Linked DNA regions of Rattus norvegicus. The protein of the gene in region 6 interacts with the protein of the main gene of each other region in a pairwise test. Links are inferred from orthologs where the notes say so. Each region holds a gene or a part of one and is shown on either strand. Other genes may lie near its edges.

Evidence for each region.
Region 1: the proteins of Cdr2 (region 6) and C2h4orf46 interact in binary tests that used the Homo sapiens proteins (3 or more experiments, as listed by UniProt). The two-hybrid records come from large-scale screens. The link is inferred for Rattus norvegicus from reciprocal best matches to the Homo sapiens genes CDR2 and C4orf46.
Region 2: the proteins of Cdr2 (region 6) and Scnm1 interact in binary tests that used the Homo sapiens proteins (3 or more experiments, as listed by UniProt). The two-hybrid records come from large-scale screens. The link is inferred for Rattus norvegicus from reciprocal best matches to the Homo sapiens genes CDR2 and SCNM1.
Region 3: the proteins of Cdr2 (region 6) and C5h1orf216 interact in binary tests that used the Homo sapiens proteins (3 or more experiments, as listed by UniProt). The two-hybrid records come from large-scale screens. The link is inferred for Rattus norvegicus from reciprocal best matches to the Homo sapiens genes CDR2 and C1orf216.
Region 4: the proteins of Cdr2 (region 6) and Tbc1d22b interact in binary tests that used the Homo sapiens proteins (3 or more experiments, as listed by UniProt). The link is inferred for Rattus norvegicus from reciprocal best matches to the Homo sapiens genes CDR2 and TBC1D22B.
Region 5: the proteins of Cdr2 (region 6) and Fam161a interact in binary tests that used the Homo sapiens proteins (3 or more experiments, as listed by UniProt). The two-hybrid records come from large-scale screens. The link is inferred for Rattus norvegicus from reciprocal best matches to the Homo sapiens genes CDR2 and FAM161A.
Region 7: the proteins of Cdr2 (region 6) and Enkd1 interact in binary tests that used the Homo sapiens proteins (3 or more experiments, as listed by UniProt). The two-hybrid records come from large-scale screens. The link is inferred for Rattus norvegicus from reciprocal best matches to the Homo sapiens genes CDR2 and ENKD1.

Annotation. Positions count from the first base shown.
Region 1 is NC_086020.1:167,059,911-167,063,940, forward strand, and holds the start of C2h4orf46 (renal cancer differentiation gene 1 protein), read left to right. Parts: upstream 1-1,230; 5' UTR 1,231-1,308; coding exon 1,309-1,488; intron 1,489-2,867; coding exon 2,868-3,023; 3' UTR 3,024-4,030. Other genes in the region: Etfdh (electron transfer flavoprotein-ubiquinone oxidoreductase, mitochondrial precursor), read right to left, coding at 641-674.
Region 2 is NC_086020.1:185,391,023-185,395,000, forward strand, and holds the start of Scnm1 (sodium channel modifier 1), read right to left. Parts: upstream 2,801-3,978; 5' UTR 2,690-2,800; coding exon 2,639-2,689; intron 2,587-2,638; exon of another isoform or gene 2,534-2,586; intron 2,421-2,533; coding exon 2,350-2,420; intron 2,088-2,349; coding exon 1,999-2,087; intron 1,903-1,998; coding exon 1,808-1,902; intron 1,704-1,807; coding exon 1,615-1,703; intron 1-1,614. Other genes in the region: Lysmd1 (lysM and putative peptidoglycan-binding domain-containing protein 1), read left to right, coding at 3,601-3,780. UniProt on the Homo sapiens protein: As a component of the minor spliceosome, involved in the splicing of U12-type introns in pre-mRNAs. Plays a role in the regulation of primary cilia length and Hedgehog signaling.
Region 3 is NC_086023.1:144,183,760-144,187,880, reverse strand, and holds the start of C5h1orf216 (UPF0500 protein C1orf216 homolog), read right to left. Parts: upstream 2,801-4,121; 5' UTR 2,629-2,800; intron 2,164-2,628; exon of another isoform or gene 1,439-2,163; coding exon of another isoform or gene 1,354-1,438; intron 549-1,353; coding exon of another isoform or gene 544-548; coding exon 1-543.
Region 4 is NC_086038.1:7,619,561-7,623,625, reverse strand, and holds the start of Tbc1d22b (TBC1 domain family member 22B), read right to left. Parts: upstream 2,801-4,065; 5' UTR 2,766-2,800; coding exon 2,710-2,765; intron 1-2,709. Other genes in the region: Tmem217 (transmembrane protein 217), read left to right, coding at 3,068-3,120. UniProt on the Homo sapiens protein: May act as a GTPase-activating protein for Rab family protein(s).
Region 5 is NC_086032.1:101,209,491-101,213,493, reverse strand, and holds the start of Fam161a (protein FAM161A), read right to left. Parts: upstream 2,801-4,003; 5' UTR 2,565-2,800; coding exon 2,544-2,564; intron 158-2,543; exon of another isoform or gene 1-157. UniProt on the Homo sapiens protein: Involved in ciliogenesis.
Region 6 is NC_086019.1:184,935,037-184,938,536, reverse strand, and holds part of Cdr2 (cerebellar degeneration-related protein 2), read left to right. Parts: intron 1-635; coding exon 636-784; intron 785-1,023; coding exon 1,024-1,185; intron 1,186-2,639; coding exon 2,640-3,500.
Region 7 is NC_086037.1:50,503,617-50,507,914, forward strand, and holds the start of Enkd1 (enkurin domain-containing protein 1), read right to left. Parts: upstream 2,801-4,298; 5' UTR 2,511-2,800; coding exon 2,426-2,510; intron 2,346-2,425; coding exon 2,151-2,345; intron 1,275-2,150; coding exon 1,102-1,274; intron 1-1,101. Other genes in the region: C19h16orf86 (uncharacterized protein C16orf86 homolog), read left to right, coding at 3,031-3,114, 3,353-3,570, 3,904-4,148, 4,222-4,298. UniProt on the Homo sapiens protein: Microtubule-binding protein which regulates microtubule organization and stability. Promotes the stability of astral microtubules and facilitates the proper orientation of the mitotic spindle.

The DNA.
Region 1 (4,030 bases), on a different chromosome or scaffold from region 6:
TCAGTAGTGATTTATATTAAGCCAATTACAAAAGAATTCAAGATCCTCTAAACTTGTTTGAATTAGGGGGTTGTTTTCAAGTAAAAACTTAAAACTGTCATGAAACTGCTTTTAGAAGCACCCTTAACAGAAAACGCCTGGAGTTAACAGGATAATGCAGAAAAATTTCCGACTCCAGACATAATTGTTGATACATGAGTTACACGATATGACAGGTCAGACTTCAATTAAGATTGGACTATCATGGCTGCAAAGATGAAAGTCAGGTCAGAACCAAGGAGACAACCCACACAAGTTTTTCTTTCTTTCCCATTTCTAATAAGGCTGCAGATAATACCTGAGCCTTGGGGTAAGGATTAGGACCGGCATTGGGGGGGAACTCCACCGAGGGGGCAATGTTGACATTTTCCTCTTCTCATGACCTTTAACCTAGATGTTAATTCTGCCAACTGGGGCAACTCCAAGGTCGGCAAGCCAGGGTCCGCCAACAGGCGCTGACGGCATTGACCTTTGCCCTAGTTTAGCCTAAGAAAACAGACAAGGAGAGAGGTGTTTGCAGTACCCCAGGTGTGGCCCCAGTCTCTTTTGTCCCAACTTATCCACCATGCTCCATCTGTCCCCACCAGGAGTTTCATCTCACCAGGGCAGGACAGCTTGGTTAGTCGCACCAACATGTTCAAAGTGACCCGGAGACTTGATCAGATACAACAGAGAGAGGCGGGTCTGTGGCTTGAGGACGGCGCTGGACTTCTAGGCCACGAGGGGCGCCATCACCTGCCAAGAAGCCCCTACTGCTCAGCTTCTGTCAGCCTCTGGGATCTGCTGATCGCCCTTGCTTCGCGGCGTACCCGCCCCTCTTCTGCTTTGCGCCGGCGCCACAGAGGACACGATACCCAGTAAGGTTTCCGGGTCACGTACAAGCGAGGAGAAGGCAGAAGACTCCATCTCCCAGTCATCCTCATCCAGGAACCTAGTGTACGGAAGAGGCCCACACGGTCTCGCATGTGCGCGTGCGCACTAGAAGCATAGCGGGGATGAGTCGCTCAGCATTCTGGGAGTTGTAGTGTTCAGCTCCAGTGTCTCCCGATCCGGACCCGAGGTGTGCGCAAGGAGTGCCTGACTTGATATCTGATTGGCTGTCTGGGAAAATGAAAAGTACTTGTGGTCCAGGGCAGAAACAAACGAGAAGATGGGGCGGGACTCCGTGTGGGAGGAGGCGGAGCCTGTGGGCTTTGGGCGCGAGCGGTCGAAAGGCAGTTGGTGAGGGTTCGGTTGCTCGGTCCTGTCCGGCGGTACCAGCTCAGTCCCATGGCTGATTCTGAGGAGTTTCGGGCTTCTTCGCCACCGCCGCCGCCTCCCTCGTCTCCGTCGTCAGGCGCCTCTTCATCGTCCCTCAGCATGCCAGTGAGTTTGGGCTGGCGGGGTCCGAGCCGGAGCCACGGTCCAACGGTGGACCCGCTGGAGCAAGTGGAGCTGCAGATCGGAGATGTGAGTGTGGCCGCTGCGGCCGGGAGCTGCTTGCAGCTAGGGTGCTCCTGCCTGCAGTTCTTGGAGTTGAGGGCTAGCCTCGGCTCTCTCCGTCCGCATCTTTCTTTCCTTCTTCTGCTTGCAGTCACCCACAGCACCGCTACCGGGATCCTCTCTCCGCCTCCTTCCATCCTTCGGAACATTTTGAGCAGGGACTTGAGCCTGCGCTTCTTGGTCATCAGCCCAGGGCTAGCTGGTGATGCTATTTATTGTGTGTCGCATACTTGCTCTGTGTTGGACTTGAGTGGACCAGGGCTAATCACAGCCGGCAGCCGAGGTCATTGGTTTCACTGATGGTTAGACAGAACAGATTAGACATCCCTGTAATGCAAAAATTACGGGATTTTTTTTTTCAATCTCGAATTCCCAAAAATCACTTCCTGACTCCCAACACATATGACACTGAGGTGGTTGGAGGGTCACAGCGTCACTTTATAAGGACTCTTGAGAGGGAGAGAGGAATGAAGTATGTAGCGGACAAACTTTCTGGGAGAGCGTTGTGGAATAACCACACTAAAGATTGGAAACTAGAACTGGTTGACAGGTTTTTACTGTTTCATCAAAAGAGATGGCTAAAGTGCTGGTCCAGGTTTTTAATTTTTTTTCCCAAAACAATACTGGTTGCAGATAAATGTGTAGAATAAATGCTGATGTGATATAAAAAAGTGTTACTTTATATATTTTTGGTGAGGAAAACATTTGATTTAAAAGTGAGTTTTTCATAGCTGTGTGTGATGTTAGATGTTCTGTCAGCTCAGCTCAGAATATCAGTTCTCTGATTTTTTTTTTTTTTTTGTAGTTCAAAAATAAATGTTCATGGGTGAAAATAGTGGAACAGAGCTATTCTTACCCAGTTGCCAGCAAAAGTGGTTTATGAGGAAGTCCTTTGGATGGCTCTGTTACTTTTAGTCAAGAGGTTTCCAGATTGCCTTGGTGAAGTATACAGGAATTGGGGGGTGTTTTCTGTTAAAAATACTGACTTGTCATATTTAGTGGGTGTTTTTATGGCAGGTATGTTTCCTCAATATGAAATTTTGTTTCCTTGCATAATGAAAAAAATTTAGAGGTTCTGCGTGTAGGTCAGGTAGAGCTATGTGTCTCCCATGTTCTGAGACTTTGGGTTAAAGAAAGAACCAGTGTTTCTTTGAAAATTCCTTCTTTTAAAGAAAAACATGTGGGCCTTTGATTGAAGGTTTTAAGCTATATTTAGACTATGAAGTTAGACGAGATTTTAAAAAAATAAGCGTGTATGAGGTCCAGAGCGTGGCTCAGTGCTAGAGGTTCTGGGTCCTCATACCATAAACAAACCCATTTGACTTTTTTCTTTCATTAAATTTCAGGCGGCATTTTCATTAACTAAACTCCTCGAAGCCACATCTGCAGTATCAGCTCAAGTGGAAGAACTTGCCCTGAAGTGTACAGAAAATGCACGTTTCCTTAAAACGTGGCGAGACCTCCTGAAAGAAGGCTATGACTCGCTGAAACCCGACAACTAATGCCTGGCCCAGAAGATGCTGGCACATGGACCGCATGTGTGGGGCTGCCCGACTCCAGACATTTATACTGAGAATGAAACTCTTCTTAGTATTCTTGCTCTGTGAAAGCAGAATACTGAACTCCTCTTATTTGCTTATGCGTTTTCCCTGATATGACAGTGTTTGCCTTAAGTGCTTTCTGCCCTCTAAGCTTCTGTAGTCTTCCTTTATGAGAGCTAATTCCATCAGTAAGTAACTGTCATACTAGAGAGAAGATGACAAAAATGCTTGAGTTGGGAGTTGACCCCGGTGTGTCTCTTGAGGCAGGCGATGAAGATTTCAGGAGCATGGTCCAGCCCCACAGACTTCCCTTATCCCAAATCCCACAGCCACCCCCACAGCACTCACTATCTGTGAATAAGACTCGATGAGTATAATTGAAGGAAAAATACTCTTTTTTTTTTTTTTTATGGGAATTTGACATTTTTTTTGCCTTGAAGCAGTCTCCCTGTGAAGGCTTCTGTCTTAGTCTCTTGAGGGCCAGGACTTCTGGTGTGCAACACCGTGCCCAGTAGAAAGTTTTGAATTTTGATGATGATTTTAAAATATATTTTTACTCATTCTATGACTATTTTTAAAAAAGCTTTTACTTCATAAAATGAAAACTTTTATAGAATGCATACTTTTTTTTCCTATTTATTTTTATACTTAACTGCTTCCATAGTTGATATTTCTCTTGTTGGTGTTCTATATGTTCAATTGCTGTCTTTGAAATATCAAATTTATGGCTGTATGCTAAGTATTATTAAATGGAGCTTTGCAAGTTATTTATGTAATTCTAAAGTTGGTTTCCAGTGTCTAACGTTTAACCGTTTGTATGGGTTTGCTGTCAGTTGACCTTAGTGTTAAGGTTCCAGTTTATCTGTACTGTGTTTTATGTATTTAGTGCCATCTGTCTTCAAGCCATGTACTACTTTGATACATAGGAGTTTGAAGTATCTTTGATGTGATGTCTGTGTCGATACATT
Region 2 (3,978 bases), on a different chromosome or scaffold from region 6:
TGAGAAAAGCTGGGGCCAGAGAGATGGCTCAATGGTTAAGAGCACTGGCTATTGTTCTTCCAGAGGACCTGGGTTCAATTCCCAGCACCCACATGGCAACACACAAGTATCTTAAACTTCACCTTTGACATCCTCTCACAGACATACATACAGTAAAAACACCAATGCACATAAAATAAAAAATAAAAGGGAAAAAAGGAATTTAAGGAAAAACTAGCTTAATAGTTTGTAATGACTATTCCTGGTTGTCAAGTTGAGAATGTCCGGAATGAACTACAATCCAGAATTGGAGGGCACATCTGTGATCCAGATCTTGAGGTTGGAAGACACAAGTATCTGATCTGGATATTGGCATGGAGATCTTGAGCCACAGTGGCCATGAAAAGCTTAGGCCCAGGCAAGGTAGTACAGGCATTTAATCCCAGGAGACGGGCCAGGAGACCTCTGAGTTCAAGGTCAGCCTGGAACAAAGCAAGTCCCAGATCCAGGAGTGGTGGTCCACACCGTCATCTGAGCCACACCTTCTGTCGGAGGTCTACATAAGGACGTTGGAAGTAGGAAGACTCACTCTTCTTCACCTGCTTGCACTGACTTGCCAGCACATCTGTTGGAATCTACGTCCACAGCAGACCAGCTGAAACAACTAGCCTCATGGGACTGAGCAACTCCTAGGGTCTTGGACTTCCCATCCACAGCTACCCTTTTTTGGGATAGTTGGAATGTAGACTGTAAGTCACCACAATAAATTCCCTCACTATAGAGAGACATTCTATACATTCTGTGACTTTAGAGAACCTGACAAATACAGTTCTAAGTTTTTGTATTAAGACTTTCCAAAGCTAGGCATGGAACTGCTCACCTTCAATCCCAACATTTGAGGAGCAGAGACAGGCAGATCTCTGAATTTAGGCCAGCCTGGTCTAAATAGCAGGGTTCCAGGATAGCCAGGGCAACAAAGAGAGACCCTGTCTCAGTAACAAAGGAACAAAAAAGTGTACTACCATCCACCATTCCCTGCTAATGTTACTAGTTTTTTTTTTTTTTAAAGATTTATTTATTTATTATATATAAGTCTACTGTAGCTGTCTTTAGACACACCAGAAGGGGACATGAGATCTCATTACAGATGGTTGTGAGCCACCATGTGGTTGCTGGAATTTGAACTCAGGACCTCTGGAAGAGCAGTCAGTGTTCTTAACCACTAAGCCATCTCTCCAGCCCCCTCTTTTTATAAAAATGTATTTATTTATGCATTTTTAAATATGAGTGCTTTGTCTGTATGTACATCCTCACACCAGAAGAGGGCATCGGATCCCTTTATGGATGGTTGTGAGCCACTGTGTGGTTGCTGAGAATTGAACTCAGGACCTCTGAAGAGCCCCTTATGTTCCTAAACACTGAGTTCTCTCACCAACCCTTAATGTTACTATTTTTAAGTAGGATTATGCTACAATATTCCATTTCCTAAAGTTTTATTTTAAAATCATTAACTGTCATTAAAAAAAAATTTCCACAAGATTAGTATTTCTCAGAAGACAGTTTGCAGAGTAATAACTTTAAAGTCATCTATTTGCTTCTACCCTTTTCCACTCCTGGCTTTCTCATTCCACTGACCTGTGCTTCCTCCGGCAGCAGCTGTTATAGTGGGGAGCTCTGTGTAGAGCATTCTGGGTGATTATTCGAGTCTGGGTTAGCAAAGGAGCCTGACAATGAGAGAAGAGAGTGAGTCAAAGCTGTCAGAAGCAAATGGCCCCTCATGCCTGTTGCGTGCAGTATAGCCCCGTCTAAACAACACTGATGCCCTCACCTCAGTTTTGCTTTCTGTCTTCAGTTCGTTCTGCGGTCGTGGATTTTGCTCTGTTCCCTTGCCTGACTGCTTTTTTCCATAGAAAAGCTTCAGACCTAGGAAGAAGAAAAGCAAGGGAGAATGAAAAGATTTTGCCAAAATGTCAAGAGTTCATTCTCTATCTCCCGCCCTCCCTACTTCTCTTAACTTACTGGATAGATGCTTCTTGCCTGCACGGTGAGCTGTCAGCATGGCCAGGGTGTCCAGTACTGGTCGATGGGGGCAGATGGCACAAGCAAAGCTAGGGAAACAAGAAAAGTGAATTATAAGTGTGTGTGCGTGTGCGCGTGTGTTTTGTGTTCCAGCCTGCAGTCGCGGTGTACTTGCTATGGTGAGTAGATCCTACTTCTGTCATAGCACTCCTCCAACTCCCAGGTTTCCCAATCTCCACCCCTTCACTTCCAGCCAAAGAATACTATTATACTCCTGAACTCCTTAGTAACAAAAGTTTGTTGAGCCTCTGATCCCCGAATCCCCAGGCTTGATCCACTCTTCGCTCTCACCGTCCATCCCGCAGCATCAGCGCCTCATCCTCGGGGATGTAACTAGCTAGCAAGTCTCCAACTCTTCGTTTCTGCAGGAAGCAGGATAGAAGAAATGAATGAGAGGAACGGATGGATATTAAATAATACAGAGGAGTCAAATGGCACGGGGCCATGCAGATCATAGGGTAGAAAATGGGGTCACCTCTCAGTTCTGGTCCCCTAACACCCTCCCCTAGATGTCGCCAAAGCAACAAACCAAAGCAACAGGGCGGCTGAAGGTGATCAGGTGACTCTCACTAGGGCTTACTTTGAGCACATTGAGCTGACTCCAGTCGTCCCCTTCCCTCTTAAAAGACATCGCGACTATGAGAATATGATAAATTCTACGCCTACTTCGCTGCTCCTTTAGGCCACCGTAGGAAGAGTACACTATCGCCTTCTCTGCTTCCGGTTTCTTTCTGAGTCTGTACTTCCGGGGATGCTTTTCCACGCATGCATCGCGCAAGCCGGAAGACCCGCCTCCAGCGCCCTGAGGGGATCTGTATTTCCTATGATACTGCCTGGACGCTGTGCCTTTTGGGAAATGAAGTCTTTTGGTTATCTATTTTATTTTTTAATTTTTTTGGAGAGAACACCGCTCACCTGGACACAGGTCCTCGCATCTCGAAGGATCCAGGTGTTTGGAGACCCAAGATCCTGTACGTGGAGCCGGAATTTCAGGGTGGGACCCTCCTGAGGTGGAGGGAGGCTTCGGGGGATCTCAGTGGACTCTATATTGCAAACTTGTAGTCCTCAGGCTCGTCCTCCTCAGCCACAACCTACCTGGGGTGGGTTTTATTTGGAACAGAGAGGATGTGGGGGCTCCCGGCGTCCTGACTGTTGGATGTAGGGACACACTGAGGGAAGAGTGTTAATGAGGGTGTCTAGGGTTCAAAGGTCAGAGATCAGGCTTGCGAGGAGTTGGGGAGGGGGCGTCGAAAGTCCACGGGGTCAGCGACTGACAACTCAGGGAAGATATTTATGGGTAAGGGGCTTGAGGAAGAAGAAATGTAACCGGCCTGGAAGACTTCTTAAGATACGAACTGTAATTCCGAGCTCCGTAAGAAGCATCGAGAGGAGGAGGACGAATGTAGTCTCTCGAGAGTCGGGAGACTGAAGAGAAAAGAGAAAAAGAATTTTCTGAATATCCATTCTCTGGGTTCAGCCGTCACTGTTGGTCACTTAGCTGGGCTTTCCTCAGTTGTGACCCTAGATCTTGGAAGTGAGGAGATGGCTTCGCCCTCTAGACAGCCTCCCCTCGGAGGGTCAGGGCTGCTACGTGGGAGCCGTGCTCGTTCTTATGGAAGCCTGGTACAATCATCCTGCTCCCCAGTGAGGGAAAGACGCCTGGAGCATCAATTGGAGCCTGGAGACACCCTGGCTGGATTAGCACTCAAATACGGGGTGACGGTGAGTCTTCCAGGATTGAGGTAGTCCCCAGGAGAAAGTGGGTGGCCCGCTAAGCAACCACCTCTGACATTACCCAAATTATATTATGGCCTGTTTTTTTCTTATTTTGCTTTCACATCTTTGTGTAGTACTATTGGGCCAGATCTGCCCAGCTATCCCAGTGGGAGGAGCAGCTCCCGTGAAGGTGGGTGAGTGGGG
Region 3 (4,121 bases), on a different chromosome or scaffold from region 6:
GATCCACTGGAGCAGCGCCAAGCGACGGTACATCACCAAATGCACATGGTGTTTCTCCTTCTCCTGTTCCTTGTAGCGCTCCTGAGCCTGCAGCTGCTGCACGGCCTGGGCCACAGAGGGCAGAAGGGGATCCAGGGGGCTTGGACCTCGAGGGGTGCTACAGCCAGCTTCTGCACTGCTGCTAAAGCTGCTGATGCTCAAGGAACTGCTGGCATAGCCGATGTCCTCCAGAGGAGAGCAGACGCTGCTGGCATCACTCGACTTCTCTGGCTCAGCACCAGGGATCTCTGCACCCTCCGGGGGACTGCGGACTCCGGCCTCAGGGAGCCCAGTGGCTTGGAAGACCCGGTTATCAGAGGGCGACTCAGAGGAGCTTCTTATCAGAATAGGATCCACACCATGCCAGTTCTTATTAGCATCCTTAGCGCTCTCCACGAAGTTGGAATTACTGTCTGGTTGGAGGTCCGGGTGACATACTCCAGGAGGCAGGCTCCCCAGGTACTGGGCCCCCTCTGCTAGTCCTGGCTGGATAGCAGCAAACATCTGGACTGTGAAGGAGAAGCAGAAGAATGAGTCACAGCAGGAGAGGATGGAATGACAACCTTGAGCCCAGTAACCTCCTCGTGGCTTTCACAGAGCGGGGTTTCCCTTTAAGGCTGCCCATCTCGTCATTCTACAAACTTCTCCCCAGGTCACTTCATCCTGTTACAGCTTCGAGAACCATCATGTGTAAGCAACTCTCAGATCCGTGTCCAGCCCAGATTCAACCCCTACTCAACCTTGTGACCTACCGCCGGTTCTTCAAATTCTACACATCCAGACAGCTCTCCTTGCAGCGTCCTCTGGCAGGACACTCTGCTGAGTCTAGCCACCCAGATGCCTAGGAGGACCTGGACTACTCACCCTCCTCCCATGGCCACCTCACTGTCCACATCTTGTCAAACTCTCCTTTAGCTCTGGTCATTTTGACCCAAGTGATTGTCACAGCCATTCCACTGACCCTCCTCCAACTAAAAATACAAACTTGGGTTGGAGAGAAGGCTCAGCAGTTAAATGGACTGGCTGCTCTTCCAGAGGATCTATGTCCCATTCCTAGCACCCAAGTCAGGTGGTTCACAACTGCCTGTATGGCTAGCTTCATCCCAACCTCGTCTTCTGGCCAATTTGTTCACCCACATGCACGTGTGCATACACAGATATGCTAATGTTTTTTAAAAAGACGTTCAGCTAAATAACAAATTATACTTTCAAAAGGAACATATGTCTACATGTATGTAGATGTATAGATATGGACAGATATATTCCATAAGAGAACCACATTTCCATGACGATTTATAACAGTAGCAAAATTACAGTTACTAAGTAGGAACAGAAGCTGGGCGGTGGTGATGTACGCCTTTAATCCCAGTGCTTGAGCCCAGAGGCAAGTGGATCTCATGAGTTCTACCACCAGGCTGGTCTACAGAGAGAGCGAGTTCCAGGACAGCCAGAGCTACAGAGAGAAACCCTGTCCGGAAAAACAAAAACAAACACAAACAAACAAAAAGGAAGTAGCAACAAGTTACTACTTGGGGGTCACCACAGTATGAGGAGCTGTCTTAAAGGGTCGCAGTGTTAGGAAGGTTGAGAACCTCTGCTCTAGAGCAAACCCAGCCAGCCATAGCAGGTATCAGTAATTACCTGCAGAGAGTGACTAAGGGGCTACCGTGGGGCTCCTGTTCTTAGGAAGACAGTAATAATGCCAGAAGGCGGCTACAGCAGAGACCCAGGGCTTGAAGCGCTGGTCTCTTTCTCCTCCTCCACACTAAGGAACCCCTGTCTCCTGAACCCACAATGACAAGCCTCTCTTGCAAGTCTGTCCCTTCCCCTCTAGTGCTCCTGGTACATGTTCATGGGACTCAGTTTGCTCCATGCTGATTTTCTCCCTCTCTCTCTTCCCTAATAATCGCTTTTGAGTATGAACTGACAAGACGTTCCATTGACCACACGTCTATGACCAGAAGGAAGAACTGAGGCCTCATGAGTGAAACATACCATTAAGTCAATCAAGCAGCCACTAGGAAGGTTCCCCTATAGGTGGCAGGGAGCCTCCCCACACCCAGCAATAGGCAGAAGTCATGGAGACTGAGGTTGGGACAGATGTTTCCACCCCTTTGGCTTGTAAGAAAAGGCCTGAAGACACCCCCAATCCCCCCCCGCCCCATACACACATACATACTCTATTTTAAAAATTTCCTAGGGGCTGGGGATTTAGCTCAGTGGTAGAGCGCTTACCTAGGAAGCGCAAGGCCCTGGGTTCGGTCCCCAGCTCCGAAAAAAAGAATAAAAAAAAAAAATTTCCTAAATTTGGCCAGGCTTACAAAGAAAGTTGGGGTGGGGTGGGGTGACAGTGGGGTTAAGCATCCAGGCTCAAAAAGTCAGTGAAATGAATCCAGACATCCCAAGATCAGGATCCCCCTCTCCTCCCAGCTAATCTATAGTGTAGGGGTAAGGGAGGGGACTGTAGCACGGGGATTGGCAGCCTCACAGGGGACAGAGAGCACAGTGACCCTGATCTCTGCAGAGGCAGCTCCCCAATCCACCCTCAGGCGGCTGGGCCCCAAGCACTCCATCAGGGCCCGGACTCACGGCCTAGAGGCGCCCGCTCCTGCGGGGTTTGCTATGGTTCCTCGGGGCCTGCTCGCTGTAGAGGCTGGGGGTGGGTCCTGGACCTGCGCGTGCACGCGCGGTGGCGCGGCTGCCTGGTCCTGGCACAGCCGTCCCAGCCCCAGCCCGGACTGCGGAGTCCAGCGGCGTCTGCGCGGCTGGGCGGGGCGGCCTGACTCACGTGGGCCGGTTCGGTTCTCCGCGCAGGAACTGCCTCCTCCCGCGGCTTGACCCGAGAGCCTTCTAGGTCCGGTGTCATCTCCTAACCACTCTGGCTAGGCGCCACCGATCCATCGTTTTTCCTGCTGTAGACATAGCGACGAAATAACTCCTTCCTGGGTTTCTCAGTGGCTAGGAAATTGGCGAGGCCGCGGTGCACGTCCCATCCTGCTGCAGCACTCGCTGCGGTCCTTTCCCTGCTCCAGCTCGTCACGTTTTCTGCTGAACTGTTCATCCCCATTTACTTTTAGGATCCTTGCTGACTCCTAGACCTGTTTTGTTTGTTTGTTTTTAAGTCCCTTCACTGTACTATACCTATTTGATGAAACGCACTTAGTGACAGCTATGCGGATGTTATTGTTTTGTTTGTTGTTTTGAGACAGAGTCTCATTATGAAACCCTGGCTGTCCTGGAAAGCACTACGTAGAACAAGTTGGCCTCCAACGCACAGTGAGATCCGCCTGCCTCTGCCTCCCAAGGGCTGGGATTAAAGGCGCGCTCCATCACCTGCAGCCAGTTTTAAAGATTTTATTTTTTATTTATGTATATGTGTTAGTGTCTCTGTGTGTGCGTGTGTAACTAAGAATGGAATCCCACTCCAGGTAAGTCACAGTTCTTCCTTTAGACAGGAGGATTTCAGACTATGGCTGCAGTATCACATTTCCTGACACCTGGAAGAAGCCTGTGTAATAGGGGAAAATGTGCGGCGCTGGAGCGGACACCCAGGAACGGAGACGAAGACACATGGCTGGCTAATGCCCCAGCCTCTGCTTCCTGAGTTTCTAGTTTTGATGCCTTCCCATGAAGTTCATATCTTGCCATATCCAACCCGAGTGGAATTTATCAAACTGGTAATCAAAAGATTCTTGAATTAATACACTAAACGTGATGAGGTAACCCTAGATTCTGATCATTCCCTGTTACTGTGTAGCCATTTACTCTGAACTGAAGCATTAGAGGGAGGGTTGTGAGATCCAGAAGATTCCCGAGGGCCCTCTTCAAGGTAGTGAGTGACCTAAGGGGTTGCTGGGGCAACAGAGACTCTTCAGTGGAGCTGCCTGCAAGTTGTGCTGGAAGCTCCAGGGATGCAGACTTTGTGAGTGGTCACTTAGCTGGATTCCGGTTTTCAGTGACCTAGCTGCCTTTGAGCTTTTGATGGCCCTGTGAGTGAATCCTGACTGATAACCAACCCTGGTCGACTCATCGGTTCACCAAGGAGACTTTGATGGGACTGTTCCTTCAGTCTGACCTCACTG
Region 4 (4,065 bases), on a different chromosome or scaffold from region 6:
TTTTTTTGTTGTTGTTGTTGTTGTTGTTTTTTGGAATGTAGGCTGTAGGCTCGAACAAAATTTCTACTCCAGCTGTCACTAAGGTCTCTCCATCCTGATCAAAGAAACTGAAAGTAACCAGCTACAATTTACACTTTTCTCACCTTTCAAACTGCAAAGAAGAGAAAAGTAACTTTCTTTCTACACTTCTGAGGACCTGGCACTAGCTAGTTCATCGGCTGAATCACGAGGAAACGCCTCTTCCACAGACTGGGAAGAGTTCAGATGTAAAAGTTCTGTTCTGGAACCAAAATGCCTTCTATGGGAACGAACAGCAGCTTTTCCCAACAGCCCTGAGCTCTGGGGCTCTCTGACGAGCGTGTACAGGGGATAACACTCCCCTGGCCAGGCAAGGTATGGATCGTGGTTTATGGATCATGGCAACATTTTTATGCCTCCATAATAAAAAAGACAAATAACTAGTCCTGGGAGCTGAGAAACATCCTTTTAAATGTTTGCTTGCTCTAATAACGAGGGGGTAATTAATAATGACTATTTATGGAGCAAGTACTGTGTAGCAAATAAACGCTGTCCTAGGTTCTTTACAATGGGTTCTATACAAATAGGGCATTCCCGTTAGCCTTCGGATGATTCTGAGGGAAGAGATTTTATTCCCCTATGAAGGAAACTGAAGCTGAGGTAGACTGCGACTCCTGCAGGTAAGAGGATCTGAACGACGATGATGATAAAAGTAAAATAATAACAACAATGATAAATCATGATGACCCGGACTCCAAAATTCTCGCCGCCAAGGCTCCACGTTTCAAAATGAAAAGAGGAAGCCAGAGCTTTGGAGAAACTGAAGAGTCCACCTACTCCAGCAAAAGTAATGCTTTTGGGCCGTCAAGACAGCTCAGCAGATAAAGATGCTTCCCCCTAAGCCTGATGACCTGAGTTCAATCCCTGAGATCCGCATGGTGGAAGGAGAGAACTGACTCTTGTAAATTGTCCTCCTCTGACCTCCACTTGAACACTGTGACATGCACAAGTGCACACCCTTGGAGACACACACACACACACACACACACACACACACACACTAATTAAACAGATAAATAAATGTAATTATTTAAAGTAGTACTTTTTAAAAAGTTGACTTCCCATAGGCCAGTAGAAGAAATAAAGGAAACAAAAGACCATTAGTGCACCACATCTGGCCGTCCAAAGGCACAAAGATCGCCCATCTCCCACTGCCCTCACCCCTGCTTCCTGACGTAACCAGTTTTTCCCCCCACCGATTATTATCTCAGGATATCAAACTGTCATGATCCCTCTGTAGCAAACTCCCAGAGAAGAGCAGTCAGCGCGACTGGAGAGCTCGCTCAAGCAGGAAGGAAAAAGAAATCAGTGGCAGGAAGCGGAGCTTATCTAAAAACACGGTGTCACTGTTCAATGTGTGAACACCGTTAACCCCCACAGCACTTCAAACCAAAGCTACCCTTGCCTCCCCTGGTATTATATTAATACGAGTTGCTAAAACCTGGTCCCTAAACTTTCTCCACGTGTCTAATGACAGCTCAGAAAAGTTACACAGCCAAGGTTGACTCTCGGTTCTCTTTCACTTAAAGAGAGGGGGCTGTGTGCAGCTCAGTGGTAGAGCGTCCTCAATAGTGTGGAGAGAGATGGAGAGAAGGAAAGAGGGAGAAAGAAGAGAGGGAGGAAGAAGGGGAGGAGAGAGAGGGGGGAGAGAAAGGAGGAGGGTAAGAGATCGAGGTCACAAGTCAAAGGAGTACACCTGAACAAAAAGACTTACAGGCAAATCACTAAGGAAAGATAACACTTGAGGGCCATGATCAGACACAAATTCTAACACCAAGCAGCCTGTGACTGGCAGAAATCTTAAACCCAGTAGTGAAAACACATAGGGCTTTCACTTTTCAGGACACCACCCAAAACAAACTGAGCCAGTAATCCAAAGGCTGACTGACAGACAGACAATTGTTCAGAATGTCAACATACACCAAGAAGAGAAAGAAACACTAAGAAAATAAGTCAGTCACTCAGGAGGCCTGCTCTCCAACAAAACTGAGGATTCAGAGAATTTAATGCATCTACACTAAAAGCACATCACTTCTCAGGGATTGCGCAAGTGATTAGAAAATGTCAGAAGTAACTTACTCTCCACCCTGTGGCCACCCTGTAATAATTTCTAATGAGAAAGGACCAACTCAAGACAAAGTAAGGTCAGGCTTGAGAATTCCCCCTCACTTTCCCTTGCTCATACCCTGCAGGCCTGCCCCATCAGAACCCCTGGGGAGTACAAAAAGAAAACAGGAAGGTGATGGACTGGGACCCAAGGCCATGGGGCCATCCACCCTCATGCAGGCAGCCACCCATGCTGTTGGAGACCCCTGAGTAGTTCGGTACAAAGTCGAAAGCGGTCTGCAGGTGGCCCTCCAAGGCCAGACTGACAATGTCAACTCGCCCAACTCCTCTGCCCCTCACACCGGGCTCCCTGACACCTCCAAGCTGAGGTTCCCCGCCCCCAGACCCTAGACTGCACCCCACACCCAAGCTGGCCAGGCTCCTCTGATTGACAGCTGCTCTAGCCTGGGCTACCCCGACACCAGCCCTCCGGCCTCGGGGGCGCCCCAAGACGGCGGGATTCAGAGATCAAGATCTGGAAGGCTTTGGGTCCAATCCCCACTCCCCTCAGCGTCCTGGACTCACCTCCCCGGCAGCTTGGCGCTCCTCTTCCAGAACTGCTTGCTGTTCTCGGCGGCCATCGCTCTGGCCCGGGGGAAGGCCTGGTCAGTGGGTCACGGGGGCGCCCCGCGACAGGCCCCCGGGACCCCGCAATCTGAGGGCCAGCCCAGGCCGCTTCCCCGCCGCCGGTCACCCGCTCCCAGCTCCTGGGGGCGCCATCTTGGATGTGGGCACTCCCCCCGCCCAGCGCCGTTGCCATTGGTGGGCTGTGCAGGCCGGTGAGCGGATGGACCAATAAGGATCCGGGATCCTGCCGGCCGCTGAAGCCCCGCGGCAACGTCATGGGCTGGGCACACAGGTGGGCCGGGAAGGCGGGGCTTAGATGGGCAGGAAGGCGGGGCTGAAAGTTCCTACTCCCCGGAGGCAGAGAACCAGGTAAAAAAAAAAAAAAAAAAAAAAAAAAAGGAAAGAAAAGAAAATAGAAAAGAAAAAAAGAAAAAGACCTGCTGGGAATGGGAAGAAGGAGATGGGACTGTTGCCTTTGATGGGCTGAGGTTCTGGGGTTTTCCTGGAGGGGAGAGGGAAGGAGAAACCATAACATTTATATACATTAGTCTTAAGTAAGGTCTCATGTAATTATGGAGACCATTTTTGAGACCTCAATGGCACCCAGGGTGGTTAGCCCCCTCCTTGTTCCCTTAGGATCCCAATTTCTTAGACGATAGCTCCGGCCAGACCCCAGGGCGGGGAACTATTGTATGAATAGCAGTTGATTGATCAGAGTTTCCCTCTCTTCCGCTAACTGAACTTCGTGATGTAATCCCTCCTTCGGGTCTTACTCTTTCTGCTTGTGAGGATCGAGGTACTGAGAAGTCGTACTTAGGAAATACTGTTTTACCCTCCAAGTACCGTTTTTCTCTAAGGGTTGTTGGACATCTCCATGGCAACGATCAGGAAGATGGAGAATCTACCCCAATAGCCTCAACCCCTTTATTAACCGGTTATAAATCTTCCGTCTACAGATTAATTTTTCAATCTAATTTCGACTCGAAATGAGATCTGGTTTTAGCATGTTGTCTCCTTTGGGTGTCATGTTAATGACTACCTCTCTTTTTGGAGTGTGTCCTGGGACGACACTTCGAGGGAAGATGGAGATTTTCTACCCACCCCAAAAAATTTTTGTTCAGACAAGGAACTGTAGATGTGTGCAGGTTGCCCCCCCCAATCCATCTCTGTACTAACACCCTGTTTTCTAAATATTAAAAAAATATTACATTTATTTGTGCGTGCGTGCATGCGTGTGGGCGTGCGTGTGTGTGTGTGTGTGTGTGTGTGTGTGTGTGTGTGTGTGTGTGTGTAAGTGTGGAGGGCAGAGGACAA
Region 5 (4,003 bases), on a different chromosome or scaffold from region 6:
TTCATTTTTAGGGAACTGATGTGAAGCACTTGACTTCTCACCTCACTGCTTCTCTCAGTGAATGTGGGACCCTCTGGGCCTTGTTCCAGGCCTCCTACTATGGTGGCTAATCCTTAATCTCTTTTGATGTCTCTATTAAATGTTGAGGTTCTCTCTGTCTCTGTGTGCCTGTGTGTATGTGCCTGTGTGTGTGTGTGTGTGCACCAGAGGTCAATGACAGACTTTTTCTCCCCTCGGTGACACAGATACAGGCTGGATTAGACCGGATTAGAAGTGGATAAAGGCAGGTTTATTAGGGGGCAGCTCTTGGGTGGGTTCATCGATCTCACAGGTGGAGGTCGGTGACGTCACATCCAGGCTAAAGCAAGGGGGTTTTACAGAGCTTTGTGAGGAGTGAAGATCTGCTAGCTAGGAGCTGGGATGGTTGGTGTGCACGTGTGGTCAGAATCTGAGCCCCCGGGGAGGCACTCTTGGGCAGGTTGTCTGGAATTCGGAGAGGAGTGATGATGTGTTAGCCTGAGTTTTCTCCCAGGTGGGCGGGGCTGGGGAAAGGAGAGCAGAAGGAGTTTCCCAGCCTGTGCAGGGGTGAGCATCAGTTGCAGGAACATCCGATCTCGGGTGAGTTCCCTAGTCCATCTTATCTTTTGAGATGGGGCTTTCGGCAAATTCCAGGAATCTGCCTGTTTCCTCCTCCCGAAGCACTGGGATTATACACAAAAGCCAACACACCAGGTGTGTATGTGGGTGTTGGAAACCCAAACTCCACTTATAACACAAATCTTCAGTGAGCAGGGCACTTTGGAACCTAAGCACAACTATACAAAGGACAGACCTTTCTGCCAGAGTATATGTCAGTTTCCAAGTGAATTGTTCAAGCTGGCAGTTATAATTACGAATTTATGTAAACTCTCTAGAAATGACACCCATTCTCTCCTCTGGTTCTTATTAACAGAAGATGGGGGCGATTATAGTCCTTTTACAGACAGAGAAACAGAAGTCATGTCCTATAATCACCCAGCGAGTAGCAGACAATGGCTTCTGATCCAGAATCCAACTCCTTCCCTCCATTCCAGCATTCTGCCTTCTGTAACCTTTGATAGATTGTGTTGAATGGCAGCCTTATCAGGTATAAACCAGTCCTAGGATTCTGGTGGTTTGGGCCTCTGTCTACTTTACATAACCTTGAAAGAGCTGATACAGGCCAGCCACGGTGCCTGAATCCCAGTATTGGGAAGATGGAGGCAGGAGGGTCAGGATTTTAACAGCAAATTTGAGGCAATCCTGAACCAAAGGAGACCCTGTCTAAAATAAAACAAAAACCAAGTTTGTAGCTGTTAGTACAGCACTTGCCTAAAGCACAAACCCTTCATCCCACCCCCAGCACTGCTAAGAAACCAAGTGGCAGGGGTTGGGGTGGGGACACATACACACATGTGCACGTGCACACACACACACACACACACACAGACATGCTCCTTCCTGGTGCTTTACACCAGCAGAGTGCTAGACTTTTTAAGTGAATAAAAGTTGGGCATTTTACTATGCACCTTTAAACCAAGCACTCAGGAGGCAGAGGCAGGCAGAGCTCTGTGAGTTTGAGTTCCAGGACAGCCATGGCTATGTCTCAAGAGACAAACTAAAAAGGATGCTGCAATGGCTTAAGAGCACTTGCTGCTCTTGCAGAGCACCTAGGCTTGATTCCCAGCCCCCATCACAACCGTCAGGAACTCCCAGGAACTCACACTGCGCACATTCATACACATAAATCTAAAAACAAACAAATGAAATGAATAGAACGGATAGAGCCCTGGTTGCCCTTCCAAGTTCCTGAGTTCAATTCCCAGCAACCACATGGTGGCTCACAACTATCTGTAATGGGATCTGATGCCCTCCTCTGGTGTGTCTGAAGACTGCGACAGTGTACTCATATGTATAAAATAAATAAACCATAATCCATATGTATATGGAAAAGAAGTAGAGAGGATAGAGGAAGACTGTGCCCTCCTGCTAGAAATGCATCCAGGACATAATACTGAAAATGTTTTGCGAGAAGACCTCACTGCACCCGTATGGCCCCTTTAGTAAACTTTGGGATTTCGGGGATTTATCTGGATGTTTCTCTATATCTATGGAGCATCTGTCCACTGAACTTCAAACAGGCTTTCCTAAAGGACTGCTAAAATCCACTACTAACCAAAACCGATAAAATACACTTGTCAGTCCAACTTATCATCTGAGGTTTTATGAAAACTATAGATAGGCACATCAGTTTTCCTCAAGGGAAAAAACAAAAATTAAAAATAGAAAAAAATTTAAAAAACTGAAGAATATTTATTCTCAAGATATGCTGGAGAATAAATAAGTAGAATTCTGTTCTGTGCACACTCTAGAAATAGCTATAAAAATGCTCTCCAAGAAAGTTTTGCATTAGTCTTTAGTTGGAGCAGAGAGCAGGAAGGGTCTGCAGAGGACACCGCATTTCCACCCGTCCCTGCTGGTGAGGACCCGGACAGCCCCCAGACCCCGCCGGGCTCCCACATTACCGACGCCCGTATCTGCCACATCCTTTTCTTCTGTTTCTCTTCCACGGCCGCCGCCAACGCCGCTGCTACCAAGAACTATAAGGGGTCTTCGCGTTCGTACTGGGAGGCCCTTGCTCCTGTGATGGGATTTGCGGGCAGGTGGAGGTTGGCAGCAGCCAGTCTGATAGCCTAGTGCGGCGAAGCCACCGCCCCGCCTCCGAGCCCGAGCGCCCGCGCCGGCCCGGGGCGGGTGAGCTGGCGCCGCCGCCTCGCTCGCAGATCCTGGCTGGGGAGAGCGGTTACTAGGGGCACGGTTACTAGGGACGCTACAGGAGGTGGCGAAGGACCGTAACGCAGGCAACGTCCTTTCTCACTGTCACAAATGCGAGCCCCGAGTCCAGCTAACGTCTAATGATGGTTTCTGATACAATCCTGCGGTTTAACGGGGCATTCTAGAAGCATAACTATCCGAATCTACACTAATGACTACCACAGTAAGCTAAAGTAAAACGCAGTCTTCAAGAGAGTTTGCTCAATGGAATCTCATCAGCACCGGGACTATTACTGATTCTCTTGAATGACACCCAGATCCGCAGCTAGGGACTGAGCTTTTCTCTGGTTTCTAGCTTTATTTCGTTCTATCTGAACGAGGACTTCTCGCGGTATACGCAGAAAGCGCGTTTTTATTAACTGGATCAACATATTAGAGCACAGAGGAACAGGAAAGAACGGGCGTTGGGTGACCAGCCCAAGAAAAGGACAGGCTATGCAGCGTGCTATTCAACATGGCGGAGAACGCAGTTCATCTCTAATTGACAAGAATTTCACGAGTTGACCAATCAGAGGGAGAATACTTATTTGTCCCGCCCTCCTGTTTCTCGACTGACCAGTAAGACGCTAGACATAGGAAATGCCTGTCACTCGGACCAGTGAGTGATGGGGTAGCTTGTCTTGGGGTTCTGCAGCTAGCTTAGCCGCAGGCTTGGAGGGGGAGAACCCACAGGGACCACACCCTCCCAGCTCAACCCCACCAGCCTCCTGATCGATCTTAGGTTTTTGGCCGCTTCGGATGGTCTTTCAGTGAAGTCTCAGCCACCTGCAACGTAACACTACTTAGAAGTAGCGCCCCTGTCCCCACCATAAGGTTCCAGTAGTTTCCACATTATGCGGCTCGCCTTCCACTGAACCTGTTTCTGACGCAGTTGCTACCAGCCCTTCCTTGCTCGCCCCTGCGAGGTCTCCATCACCTCACCTTCCCTGCCTCCTCTGGTTTGGCTGAGCTTGCCTCTTGCAGGAACTGATGGGTACTGGTTGGTTCTGAAAAGCTAGAGGTGGGGAGGGATCCATAGCCGTCGGAATGACAGCTAGTTCTGTGACGGGATTTGGTGTAAGCCAACTCAAAAACAAGACCTGTCTACAGACTGAAGCCCTGTAAGCTGATGGTTTTAGGATCATGAAATAGTAAATAATGGGTATGAAGG
Region 6 (3,500 bases):
CGTCTCTCCAGTCTCTGTTAAAATATTGTGTTTAAATTTTTGTCATGTTTTTCCAAGTTTTCTTGAGAGATTATCATATTTCATTTTGGGTTTTCCTTCTGAATGTCGAGCATATAGTTTGTAAAATTAGTCTAGCCTCATGGAACGTAAGAGTTTTGGAAAGCATTAAATTAATAGAGCTAAGCACATCAAGAATAGCTTATGCTGTTTTTATTATTAAAACAGGTAGTTTTGTTGGGGTTTAGCATTCTCTTTTCCATTAAGTAAGCTGATGACACTGGTAGAGTAAAAAAAATTCACATTTGGTCTTTGTCCCTGAATCGTGGCTTAAAAAGTCTTGTAAAACCATTATTGTCCAGAGTATGAGGGATGGCCCACATTATTAGCTAGCCAGGAGAAGTGTGGGCAGATAGCAATCAACTTTAATTGCCGAAGCCTTTGACAGAACTCTAAAACAAGGCTATGGGAGCTTCTGGACTAGCAAACATCACCATGCCAGGAGGGTGCTGAGCCTGCAGGTGGAGGCCCTAAGCCCTCACCTGGCATTAGTTGGTGTTGGAGAACCAGAGAATTGGTGTTAAGCATGCAGGTTATCTTATCTGTTTGTGTTACCTGATCTCACTCCTCTTTTATAGTACCTGACCAAGCAGGTGGAGCTTCTACGGCAAATGAATGAGCAGCATGCAAAAGTTTATGAGCAGTTAGATGTTACAGCAAGAGAACTGGAAGAAACCAACCAGAAGCTAGTTGCTGAGAGCAAGGCCTCACAGCAGAAAATCCTGAGGTAAATTTCTAACTCTTACAGGGGCAGTCTACAAAGGAATTAGTATAATTCGAAGTACAATGTGCCTATAGAAGGTTTGGGCAGTCTAGGATACGGGGTTTTTCTGGAGAAGGAAGATTAACTGTAAGTTCTTTCCAATTAAGAAAGCCAAGTTTGAGTGGCTCACACCTAATCCCCTTCATTGGTTTTGATCTTAATTTAATTTGACAAGCAGTGACTGGCTTCTGTTTTATTCACAGCTTGACAGAAACAATTGAATGCCTGCAAACCAACATTGATCACCTCCAGAGCCAAGTGGAGGAGCTGAAGTCTAACCAAGGAAGAGGGAGGCAGAAGGCATGTGACCAGGAGAGACCAGCACCAAGCTTCTCCTGTCTGAAAGAGCTGTACGACCTCCGCCAGTAAGAGCCTGCCTTGCTGTGGATTTGCAGACTGGGACCAGCCATGTCATGACACGTTCTAGATCACAGTAGATGGAAAGCTTCATTTCCAGGATCGCCCCTCAGCTGCTAAACCACCAGTGGTTTAGACAGAGCTGCTGACCAGAAACCTATCAGGGAGCGTTTCTGGGTGTCAGTAATTTTATGAAAACAGTTTTTATTTTTTTTTTTCATTTTAATTTGTTAAATATTAGTTTAAAATTAGTAATACTTCCATTGTAGTACAGATTTGGGAGTTGTATTTCACTTTAGAATGAAAGAAAAAATGGAACCTAGAAGCTAGATTTGGTAGCTCAAATTCCAGCACTCAGGAAGCAGAGGCAGGCTCTGTGAGTTCTAGTCCAAAACATAGCAAGTTCTAGGACAGTTAGGACTATACAGAGATCTTGTCTCAAAAGACAAAAGGAGTATTTTCACCTAAAGAAATAAGTAATATATAGTGTTGACTTTGAGTCTTTAATAATGCTTACTAAACACCTATTATACTGCAGTTGATATCCAGAATTGATGGCCAAAATGGACATGCTCTGTGTCCCCCAAGCCCTTCATTTTAATGGAGAGCTCGATGCTCCATAACCAAGACACAGATAGGTGCGAGCTGCCCCAGACTGAATAGGACAGAGGCCAGTTTGTACGTCTCACACTTTGCTTTTTCTCACATTACTTATGGCGATTTGGGGCTTTTGAGATAAGGTCTCATTCAGCCCAGCTGGCCTCAAACTCCTGATGTCCCAAGTGCTGCTGAGATTACATGTGTGCATCCAGCACTGGCCATGTTCTCCAAGGGCAAACACTAACTCTCCTCAGGTCAGAATTTCTAGGTGTGAACCTAAAGCTGCCCCGGTGGTTCTGATGTGGATCTGAGGTTAAGGTCCAAACATTGGTTTCCTCAACCTTGGTTTCACATTATGGAAAACATTTTAAACTCCATAGGTCCCGGCAGAAGACCAACAGTGTCCAAACCAATGGTGTGAGCGCTAGGTTTTAAGATCACCACCCAGCTGATAGTGACCTCCAACTAGTGACGAGAATCTCTGCCCACCATATTTCCCAGTAAGCAGCTGTATTCTGCTGGTCTTGGAGTGGGTGTTCTATACTACTTTTAATATTAGGGGGAAAAAAGTCACAAAAACTGTATTTGTTTGCTTTCAAGAATTTGCCAGCCTTGGGGCTGGGGATTTAGCTCAGTGGTAGAGCGCTTACCTAGGAAGCGCAAGGCCCTGGGTTCGGTCCCCAACTCCGAAAAAAAGAACCAAAAAAAAAAAAGAATTTGCCAGCCTTATGTAGCGTCATATACCCACTGCTTGTAGAATGGAATGGGCTAAAAATTGATGTCGTGGTTCTTAAAGACTTAGTTGAAAAGCAGCCTCCTTCGCAGTGCCAGTTGACCTTTCTGTATTTCCATGTTTCCTCAGACACTTTGTATATGACCACGTGTTTGCTGAGAAGATCACTTCCTTGCAGAGCCAGCAAAGCCCTGATGAGGAAGAAAACGAGCACCTGAAAAAGGCAGTGACGATGTTGCAGGCCCAGCTGAGTCTAGAGAGGAAGAAGCGAGTGAGCGTGGAGGCAGAGTATAAAGTGGTGCTGAAGGAGAACAGCGAGCTGGAGCAGCAGCTGAGTGCCACAGATGCCTACCGAGCCCGGGCACAGGAGTTGGAGGCAGAGGTGGCCGAGATGCGGCAGATGCTGCAGGCAGAGCATCCTTTTGTGAATGGCGTTGAGAAGCTGGTACCCGACTCCCTGTTTGTTCCTTTCAAGGAGCCCAGCCAGAGTCTGCTGGAGGAAATGTTCCTGGCTGCTCCAGAAGCACATAGAAAACCACTCAAACGCAGCAGCAGTGAGACGGTGCTCAGCAGCCTGGCGGGGGATGACATCGTGAAGGACCATGAGGACACTTGCATCAGGAGAGCGAAGGCTGTGAAGCAGAGGGGCATCTCCCTTCTGCATGAAGTGGACACTCAGTACAGCGCCCTGAAAGTGAAGTATGAAGAGCTCCTGAGGAAGTGCCAGCAGGAGCAGGACTCACTGTCACACAAGGCTGTGCAGACCTCCAGACTACTGACGAGGGACCTGACAGGGCTGGTCCCGCAGTCTGAGGCCGGGGCCAGTGGCTGGGAACCCACCCCTGTAAGCCCAGAGCCCATCAGTTCCCCCACCACTACACCTCCAGAATACAAAGCACTATTTAAGGAGATATTTAGTTGCATCAAGAAAACAAAGCAGGAAATAGATGAACAGAGAACAAAATACCCCTCCCTCTCCCCTTACTCGTA
Region 7 (4,298 bases), on a different chromosome or scaffold from region 6:
TGGTACATGCCTACAGTCCCAGGACTCAGGAGGCTGACGCAGAAGTAACTGTTTGGGGCCAGGCTAGGTTACAGAGAGAATTCAAGGACAGCCTAAGGCTAAACAGCAAGCTACCAACTCAGAGAGAAATCATCTGGGAGTGGTGGTCCAAACCCATTTTGTCCACATCTGGGAGGCTAAGACAGGAAGGAGAATTATGCCAGTTCAAGGCCAGCCTGGGCTACAGGAGTTTGAAGTTAGACTAGGCTACACAGTGAGACCCTGTCTAGAAACAAAGTAGCAGTGGAAGTGGTGGTGGTGGTGGGGTATGATAGCACCCAACAGTTAAGGACACTGGATGTTCTACCCGGGAATGTGGCTTCCATTCCCAGTATCATGTGGCAATTCACAGCTCTCTGTAACTCCAGTTCCGGGAGATCCACACCCTCTTCTGGTCTCTGTGGTGCACAGACATACATGCAGGCACCCAGACACATAATTTTGGTCTTTTTTAATCTCAAAAAAGTAATTAACTAAAAGAAAAAGAAGAGAGAAAGCAGCGTGGTAGCGCACACTTTTGATCCCAGCACTTGGTAGGTGAACAAAGGAGCATCAGAAAGTCAAAGAACTTGAGGTCAGCCTGGGCTACGTGAAACATAGAGATAGAGACAGAGAAACTGAGAATGAATTAGTAGGAAGGTTGAGGATATAATTTTATGAGTACCCAGTGTGCGTGTGCCCCAGGATCCAATCTCCAATATCACATGTTGATAAGTAACTTAGGTAGTTCTTTCAGATATGTATTTAACTGGCTTTCTGTTCTAACCTTCTGCTTTCCCCCTACAAATAGAATTATATCTATATGCCCATTGCCCCTACTCCCTGAGCCCAGAACTTTTACCTACCTGTGGGGTTTCATCTCTGGGGAACCTTTTCTTCCTCTAGCCTAATCCTCACTTGCCCTGATGCCATCAGTTCCTCAGAGAAGGTCCACCAGATGTCTTAGTCTTTGTGAACACACCACACACACACACACACACGCACGCACACACACCCCGTAAGTTAGATTAGATATAACTGCCTTGGCCAAGATGGATATGTCCGCCTGCCTGAGACAGATACCTTCATCCTGGCCTTGACTCGAGACTCTACACTGTCATACTTGGGTGAGCGCCACAGTGCCTTCAGGGGCTTGGGCTGGGCCTGCTCCCGGCTGCGTTCCTGGTCTTGGAATCGCCTCTGAATCTCTTTGATCCGCCTCAAGTTTTCCTTCTCATGGTCTTTTGGATCCTTCCCTGGAGGAGGGGAGGAATGTTGCTAGGAACAGCCCTACGAATGGCTGTGCAACTCAGACTAGATCTCATACAGATTCACACCCTACCCCTGGGAGATGTCCAGTATATGAGAAGCCCTGGGTTCAATCTCCAATATCACACACAAAGTTCTTAAATACAACCAAGACCTCTACATGGAAGTTGAATGCCATACACACAGCAACATTAGCAGCTTATTCCCTTACACAGAAATTGTGATTACCTTCTACATTTTATGATATCACCGAGTATATTATACATATGTCCTGTCTTGTTTATTGACTCCCTTACTTCTTTCCCCAAAATTTATTTATTTATTTATTTATTTATTATTTTTTTTTTTTGGTTCTTTTTTTTTTCGGAGCTGGGGACCGAACCCAGGGCCTTGTGCTTCCTAGGTAAGCGCTCTACCACTGAGCTAAATCCCCAGCCCCTTATTTTTTAATTCACATTATATCCCAATTGTAACCCCCACCCCAGTCCTGCCCCTGTCATATCCGGCTCCCTATTACCCCCTTCCCTTCTCTTCAGTGAAGGGGAAGCCCCCCTTGGGTGTTACCCTACCCTGGGACAACTCCCATACTTTTTAACCTTGTTTTCCTAACAACCATAGGGCTTGGCACAAAGTAGGCATTAAGGGAACTGTTCTATCAAGGTGTGAAAGCTTGAAGCTGGAGCTCTCTGCAGAAGGATGAACTCTGATCCTGCAAGAAGTATTTTGCCCTTCTTTTAGGCTAGAGAAATTAAGACCCAGAAAAACACATTAACTGAATGGGTTCAAGGCGGTTAAGAAGCACCCTATTTTAATCTCTGCTTTTGACCTATGAATGCCTCAATACCCCGTCTGCAAGGACTTACTCTTAGGAGAGACCCCTGAACCAAGGGAGATGCCCCCCAGTTGCAGCAGCACGTCCCCCACACCTCGCTGGCCACGCTCTAGGATCTCTCGGGCTCCAGGCCTGATGCGAGGGCCACGAGGAGGGCTGGAGTCCAGGTCGCGACCTGAAGTCAGCAGGTCCAGCTTCAACGCGTTTCCTTCCAGGCGTCCTTGGGCTGAAGAGCAAGACGCGGTGGAAAGCCGTGCTCAGAGGTGGGGCGGGGTACTCGCCCCGCCGCGGCACCCCGCAACTCACCCGAGGCCGGCCGCCGGTAGTAGTCCGGGCAGAGAGTAGGGTCTGGGGGGATGGGTCCAGAGATGCGGGACGGGCCCTCGCACATGATCCTACCGTAGCCCTGCAACTGTGCATCAGGACCTGTTGCGCTGTGCAAATGTCCCCTCTAATCCCTGTCGGGTGTTTCCACCCTCCACCCGAGCTCTGTAGCCCCGTGGTACCCCCCATCACTGACCCCCACCCCTCGACTACCGCTCGTTTCCTAAGCTCAGCCCGTACCACCGCCCCGCGACTAGCACACGGCCCTGAGGGGTTCGCGGCCCCTCCCCCTGCAAAGCCCCAGCGTGGACTCTCACTGCAGCAGTTTTACCGCCAACTGTAGCAAGTCGGTAGGAGTTGCTGTTGCTTGGCAACAAATGGCTTCCTGAGGTCAGGGGTCAAATGACTAAGGCGAAATGCCTTCTGGGGTTTGTAGTTCCAGATGAGGAGCGAGTCTAAGTCTCGGGTCGCAACAGGATCCTTACCTCTCAACCTGTCTCCCCTACCAACACTGAGCACCGGTCCAGCCCTGCTCTGGGCCTGCGGTCTTCTCTGAGCAACCGTCGAGGGATGCATTGATTCCTGCCATGGCCTCAGCAGGGGCCAAGAGGCAGCCAGAAGCCCAGAATGGGGCAGCAGTAGGGTTAGCCCAGGTTGCAGAGATCCCTGAGGTGACTTGGGCATTTCAAAGCTCAGGAGGAGGAGGGGTAGGGCAGAAGAGCAGGACTCTAGGTGACCCAACCTTCTAACTGCCAGGCCAAGTCCTGCAGGTAGAGGGACCTAAGATTTCCTATTCTGTGGCCAATATGTAGTTAGGAGAGGCCCCCAAACCAAGAGAGATGCCCCAGTTGCAGCAGCTTTGGGCTTTGCCTGACCATGGGCTATCAGTTACCTATGTATGTCTTCTAGTGTCCAGGAACAGAAGAGTGTCTGGTGCCAGCACACGAGACCTGCAGCACTCCAGGTGAAGACAGGTGTCCAGTAGGACACAGCTTAGAGCCAGAGCTCCAGGAGGAAGGAATAAACCTGGGAGAGGAAGGGCTCAATCCAGGGGTGGAAGCAGGAGAGGAGAGAGGACCCAAGCCTACATCATCCATCGTGAGGCCAGCTCATGGGCCCAAGAGAAAGTGAGAGGGCTTTCAAGGGGAAAGGCTGGGGAGGTGGGTCTTAGACCTGGAGATTCCTAAATCCCAATTCCTTCAAGGCAAAGAACCTTGTTTTCTTCTAATGCCCTCACCTCCAGCTCCTGTTTCTCTAGAACAGTTGGGGCGGGGGTGTGGATTTGGGGCTTCTTAGTCTTGTAGGAGACTTAGCTACCATTGAACGCTGGGCCCCTGTTGGGTTTGGAACTTCACTAAGAAATGGACAGTTAACTAGCTCTAGTGTGGCTTGGTGGACAGGCAGGGGTAAGCCCTAGGTTCAAGACACAGGAACCAAAGACTGAAGCCTACCTCTTTCAGGCCTCTTGTCCCAGGCTTGAGTACCCCAGCCCTCCCAGGGCAAAGCTACCATGCCCATCCTAGGGCAGAGGCCGAACTGCCACCAGGGCTGCTGCTACAGAAGGAGGAGCCAGAAGGCAGCCACAGTGAATCCTCGCTGTCATCTAAACAGCACAAAAAAGCCAAGAAACGCAAGAGTGTAGGGGCTCCTGTGCCCCCAGCTGTGGCCAGCGCATCTGCACCCACAGAGACCTTGGGGCTGGAGCGTGAGTGGCAATCCCTGGGCTTTTGTTTTTCCCTTTGTCTTTGAGTCTGACGTGGCACAGCCTGGTGCTCCAGCCTTTGCTGTGCCTTGGGTTCTTGCAGGAAAAGCCCAGCGCCTGCGGCCACTGTACCAGTACATCAACTATTGCAAC